2 linked regions of the Bombyx mori genome follow. Each later gene encodes a partner of the first gene's protein in a complex. Links are inferred from orthologs where the notes say so. Each region holds a gene or a part of one and is shown in the gene's direction. Other genes may lie near its edges.

Region 1 (2,336 bases):
ATATTGTAGATTTTTATTTTTAGCGTTACCATACCTTTCGTTTTTTTCTCACCATTAATAGTTTTTAAGTTTACAACTTGCATATCATTTGTCTTCTGTTTCTCTTGTATTTTCAATAATCTTGCATTAATTAAAGAAACATTAGATCCAGAGTCATAGATTCCAGAAACCTTCAAAGTGTCATTTATTTGTAAACTTATTTTTATTAATGGTGGTATTTCTAGTTTTTTGGATTTTTCTCATTCAGTTCTATTTCCAATTCTGAATTATTTACTGTTTTTACCACAGCTTTTTTATTTTTTTCTTTGAACCAACAGCTGTCTTCTGGGTGGAACGATATATAACATTAAATGTTGTTTCTTCTAAACAACAAGAAACAACATTTAATGCCCTTTCTTCAATAATTCTATAACACACATTTCACAACGTCCATTAACCGAAAAATTATTTAAACAACTATCAATTGTCATATGACAGATTGACATTCAATCATTCATTACATATACATATAGGGATAAATAGTTGTGTATCTCTTTACAAGACAGTGTTGTGCTAAAGCTAAATCGAATATATGTAGTCCTCGTGTGAACAAACTGTGTGTTGTCCCCACGAGGAGTTATGTACAGTCTCGTTGAGTTGTGCGTCGTGTGACAGTGGAACGGGGAGTGCGCGTGTCGCGGGGGCGGGGGGAGGCGCCGGACGCGTTCCGCTGCCGCCCCCCCAACACCTCCCGCCCCCCCAGCCTGCACGTGGACGACTTCACCGCGCTGCACCACACCTACACCAACCTCAGCAGGTACGCTCAGACTTCTAGAACGAATATTTACTAAACGGGGATCAATTTTAGTTTGCTGGGTAGAAAATAAAAGCTTATTGTTTTAAAAGCCTCATATACTGCTAGTTGTGCACCACTGAGTGCCTTGACCCCACGCAGTATCGCGCGTGCTAACATTGACGCTTCGAAGAAATGTAAATTCCCATTTGTCTCACGGACAGAACGTAAAGAACAAATAGATAGAAATGCTACTACAAAGCAGTGTGCGTGCGTAGTGTAACTTCGGCTGTTGCAGCAGGGGCGCGCGGCGTGGTGCAGACCGCGGGCGCTTCGCGTCGGCGGCGCCGGTGCACGCGCATTACCGACACACGTGAGTGCCGGCCCCAGCCGCAGGAGCCAACGACAACGGATTTACTAATAGAACTATCATTTTAAGTTCCACACATTCGTGAGCTCGCAATATACATATTTCTAATTAATGTTCAGTTTGCTTAGTGCGAGTTTTTTAACTTTCTCGATAGCGTAAAAGTAGGTCTGAGAATCGGCTACTCATTTACCTAATTCTTACACACTTGCAATAAGTTGTTTTTTTTTTGCTACACTAGAAATTCCCTAGAAATCTTAGTATATGGCAAAACAACGTTTGCCGGATCAGCTAGTATAATATAAATATTGAAGATGTCGCATCTCTTATACACAATATTCACTATTACAAGAGCAATCTGTTTTAAGGTTGAAAATGCACGTGCATTATTTTTTGTACATTGCACGTGTGCGTTGTCGTGGCGGCGCCGCTGACGTGCGCGTTGACTGTGTGTCCGCAGGCGCGGGCGCGGCGCGTGGGAGGCGGGCGCGCCGCACTTCGGGCACTACCCGCCGGCGCCGCAGTACATGCTGGGTGAGTGCGCCGACACGCCGCCCGCCCGGGGCCCGCGGGCCGCACCACACTCACCCGCCGACTGTTCGCAGGTGGCGCGTGCCGGGGACCGCGCGGCCCGAGGCACCGCTCCTTCATACGCTGAGGGGACCGCACTGGACGCGATATACACTTGTAGAAACTCTTTTTGTGTTTTATTTATTTGCGTAACCCTCCCCGCGGGCCGGAGCGTCCTTCCTCCCTCCGTCCTACTACGACCTAACACTGTCAGTGTGCTTAGTACGAGTTTGTTAACGTTCTGGATAGCGTAAAAGTTAACCCAATTTTGTATGCAGTTGGAACAACGCCTCTAGCGGCAAACGATCCCATTCCATACAAATATGAGCTAACTTTTACGCTATCGAAAACGTTAAAAAACTCGCACTAAGCACACTGAACATGATGACGTGACACTCATCGTTGTGACGTCACGATTAACACGTAATGACCACGAGTGGTCACCGACTACGTCTAATCCCCAGCATCAAGTACATCACAAGCTTAAGTTATCATTAATCATGTACGGCTGCGGGAGAATTAGATAAAATTAAAATCACAAGCTTAAGTTATCATTGTACGGCTGAGCGCGCGCGCGGTGATCCAACAAACTTGTGTCGCTCAGACCTTGTAGTCCAGGATAAAACA
Region 2 (4,087 bases), on another chromosome or scaffold:
TTATTTTTTCGCAATGCGCTGGATTTGGTGTCACTTCATACGGTACATCGCAAACGATTTATTTTCGGAGAGCGCGGATTGTAGTGTTTTTTCTATTGCTCACAGATTTGCGATATTTTTTAGCACCGAATTTTAATCGTAGTGTGCACTTAGCCCTGTTGTCGTATAATCATTAGTATGGAACTCATTCAAATTATGAAGACATGAAAATGGTTTGGATTTATTATGGTGCAAATAATATGATCTAGCAATAATTTAAATTAATAATTACGTATAGTTTAATTTAATAAAAGTTATCGACAAGCGGTCGCACAAATAAATTCAAATAACTAAAGTGATGCACCTGAACCCACCAATAAAATTGAATCAATACCGTTTTCAAGCCAAAAACTTACTATAAATTGATACGGAAAAACAACATACGCCGAAGATAAAATTTTACATGCGGAAGAAGCTTACCTTGCAACATGATAAGCTTCAAGAGTTCTCATGGCTCGTTTGTAAAAATTACATACTTTTTGTGAATGGCTTCTAAGTTCAGGAGCAAAAGACATTTCTGTAATATTAGAGAACGAACGACAAACAAGCACCTATAAAGTCAAACAATAAGATACCTACTTATACGTAAATGACGTGTATTATTATTATTTGATGCAGACCTATTGTTAAACGTCAAATGTGCCATACTTAATTTTTTTGGAACTATTTCAAATTAAAGCGATTAAATGCAATTTCCAACTTGACATTTCATGAAATTTACGGCTGTTGCAAAGATATAGTTTTTTTACAAATCATGATTTTGAAACACCCTAAATAGTAACAAATCACAAAGTTGCAGTTTGATACTAGTTTAAATAGTTTTCTAGCTGGCGTTCATTAACATTCCATAAAATATAAATTTACGTATTTTTTTCCACTACAATATAGTATATAAAATCGATATTTTAATCTAGTCTGCCTATTGGGAATGTTAAAAGCAACCGTCATAAATATATAAGTAACCGAATGTCGCCGGTCATTTATTAATTATACATTTTTAATTTATTAATTAAATCAACATACTTAAATAACTGAAATTGTATTTTTACTTAAGATACAGGTTTTATCACCTAGTTCAAGCACAGATGCAAATTATGATTGTGTTTCTACTTCTATAATTATTAATTATAAATTGTTAAGAGTCCAGGCAGCCCCCGACCGAGAGCCAGCGCTAAGCTATAAAAACGATCCGTCGCTGCGCCCTTGCCCTAAGTATCGCAATCTATAAAAAAAATCTCAAATGGCTCAATTGACATTTGACAGGTCTATGGTACTTACCGATAAAAAAATTATCAAACTTGCTGTTTGACAAATAAAATTGTGAGATTTAATAGCTTATTTAACTCGCTTAAACCTAATTTTATGAATTAAAAGTATGTAGGTACATTATGTATCAAGAATTTTTATAAGTTAACTTTTAATCAGCGATTAAGATTTGCTTGGTTTAAGTAAGATTATTACTTTAATATTAAATCGAATTAGCAAATATTATCTCAAAAATCACAAAAAATATCCCAATAACCATGAAATAGCCAGTGAAAATCACATTACTAGGGCATAAAATAAAAAAACAAATATTCACTATGTCGGACGCTTGGGAGGAAATACAAGCTGTAAAAAGCAAAAGGAAAAGTTTCCGTGAAAAGTTGGAGAAACGAAAAAAGGAACGCCAAAGTATCTTGAGCTCTAGTTTGGTCAGTGGCGAGAAATCTGATGCCTCTCCTAATAAAGATCGATCACTTGGTAGCCCGGCTTCAAAATCAGAAGGTAAATAAATAAAGTAGATTTAAATTTTATTCTTTTCAAAATGCATATCGAATTCGCAAAATATAGTATTCGTATCGGTACTAAACAGTATCATAGAAAGTAGTAAAGCAAACACGAAGACTAAGCCGAAACACAGGTGGAAAAACTTTAGTATAAAGTTTAGATCTTACTCCCTTTTTTTTTTTATTGCTTAGACGTGTGGACGAGCTCACAGCCCACCTGGTGTTAAGTGGTTACTGGAGCCCATAGACATCTACAATGTAAGTGCACCACACACCTTGAGATATAAGTTCTAAGGTCTCAGTATAGTCACAACAGCTGCCCCACCCTTCAAACTGAAACGCATTACTGCTTCACGGCCGAAATAAGAATACCTAATAATTCACCAAAGAGCAAAACAAACTTTAGTACTAGTCTCTACCAATGCTATTAGAATAAAATACAATGATTTATTATTCCAGCTTCAACTTTGCAAGAAAAGTCAAAACCAATCGTTCCACCAGCATCATTGGAAGTGCGTCTATTACAAGTTCTATCAGATATGCAATTGCAGTTACCTGCTACTGCCAGTGCTCTGCTACCAGGACTTGGAGATGTGGACACGGAGATTGTAGCAAACCTGTTACAGAAGTTTGCAACACAGAAGTTGATCACGTAAGTTTTTAAGGTATCAGGATGTTGATATTATGTTTAAAAATAAGTCATTCCAGGCTTTTCCAAAGTGTTCACAAATTACAGTTTAATTTTTTATTTACATTTATCTACAAATTGGATGCTACAGTTCTAGTTAAAGAATAAATTATTTGAAAATAAAATGTAAAATTTGAAGCAACTAATTACAATAGATGTAAAATATTATTAAATTGAGATACAAACTAGAAAAAAAAGACAGATTAGCTACTTTTTAATTATATTTGAGAGTTTAGTGTTTTAATCATTTTAAGAGTCGTGGTTTTAAATGATAGCCATTTAGACATGCGACACTGCTTTGGGAACATGTAAAAACAAAATGAAAGGAATGTATAACAAAAACAAACATTACATTATTGTGTTTTTACACAGTATAAGAGAAAAAACTGAAGTAACAACAGATGCTGACGTTGAGGTAGTGAGTGCAGAGTCAGGGAGGCTTGCGGCCGTTCTTGCAGCTCTGATGGAAGAAGAAACCACGACAACTAGCAACAAAAGAAAAGGTGAATGTCAAATGCTTATCTCCAAAAAGGTTTGCCTCCACAAACAAATAATGACGATATCCTTTCCAAATAGGTTTAAAGATCTTGTTCTAATACAACTGTTGAATGAAGTGATGGGAACATACCGTTCTTTAGAACGAACAGATCACCTAAAGAAAGCAAAGTGGGAAAGTCAATTATGAATACTGTGAAGTGTCATAAAAATTAAATTGAGTTTATTCATGAATAAACAGCAGTTTTACTCTGTATGACAGGTGAGAGTCCCATTGAAGATACATCAATTACAAAAGCTCCTAAGATGTCCACCGAGGAAAAGAAGTCTGGCAAGAGCGACACAGATATTATGGTAACCATAAAATAAACTCACAAATCTTGTTTTGAACCTGATAGTGCAATTTCACATACATATTGTTAGAGATAGGTAGTACACTATATTAAATGACCATCAGGAAATATATAGGTCATTGTTCTTGTTGAACCCATCGCTTGTGATGAAGGGCTCGGTGAGTAAATTAACCCACAGACACAGCCCACTGAGCTTCTCGCCGGATCGTCTCAGTGGGTCGCATTTCCGATCAGGTGGTAAATTCTGCTAAGCACTGCTCTTGCTAGGGCTAGTGTTAGCAACGTCGTCAGGTTTGAGCCCTGCGAGATCACCTACTTATTAGGGTTAAGCTGAAATAGCCTCTCAAGGTCCTCAGTTTAGGTAGAAAAAAAAGGAAAGACCTATAGGAATCATACACCTTCAGCCAGACTTGAAGTCTGTGTTATATTACAACTGTCAAATCCTTTAAACTGAAACACTGAAGAGAGAGATGATGCTGTTCTAATTCAAAATTAATGTCTCCCTTTCTATAGTTAACTTTATAATGTGTAATATTAATAATTAATTTATAATATTTAATGAATAATATTTGTAATTTATAATGTGTGTGTGCGTGCGTGTGCGTGCGTGTGCGTGCGTGTGCGTGCTTGCGTGCGTGCGTTTGCGTGCGTGCGTGCATGCGTTTGCGTGCGTGCGTTTGCGTGTGTGCGTGCGTGCGTGCGTTTGCGTGTGTGCGTGCGTGCGTGCGTGCGTGTGTAATGAA

What was found. The genes of interacting proteins can lie anywhere in the genome.
Region 2: protein virilizer (region 1) and N6-adenosine-methyltransferase catalytic subunit share a complex: the UniProt entries of both Homo sapiens proteins name them as parts of the WMM complex. The link is inferred for Bombyx mori from reciprocal best matches to the Homo sapiens genes VIRMA and METTL3.

Annotation. Positions count from the first base shown.
Region 1 is NC_085117.1:6,062,649-6,064,984, forward strand, and holds the end of protein virilizer, read left to right. Parts: intron 1-654; coding exon 655-796; intron 797-1,070; coding exon 1,071-1,145; intron 1,146-1,599; coding exon 1,600-1,673; intron 1,674-1,744; coding exon 1,745-1,797; 3' UTR 1,798-1,836; downstream 1,837-2,336. UniProt on the Homo sapiens protein: Associated component of the WMM complex, a complex that mediates N6-methyladenosine (m6A) methylation of RNAs, a modification that plays a role in the efficiency of mRNA splicing and RNA processing.
Region 2 is NC_085126.1:4,836,468-4,840,554, reverse strand, and holds the start of N6-adenosine-methyltransferase catalytic subunit, read left to right. Parts: upstream 1-1,287; 5' UTR 1,288-1,622; coding exon 1,623-1,806; intron 1,807-2,267; coding exon 2,268-2,460; intron 2,461-2,868; coding exon 2,869-2,999; intron 3,000-3,253; coding exon 3,254-3,345; intron 3,346-4,087. Other genes in the region: NADH dehydrogenase [ubiquinone] 1 beta subcomplex subunit 9, read right to left, coding at 460-554. UniProt on the Homo sapiens protein: The METTL3-METTL14 heterodimer forms a N6-methyltransferase complex that methylates adenosine residues at the N(6) position of some RNAs and regulates various processes such as the circadian clock, differentiation of embryonic and hematopoietic stem cells, cortical neurogenesis, response to DNA damage, differentiation of T-cells and primary miRNA processing.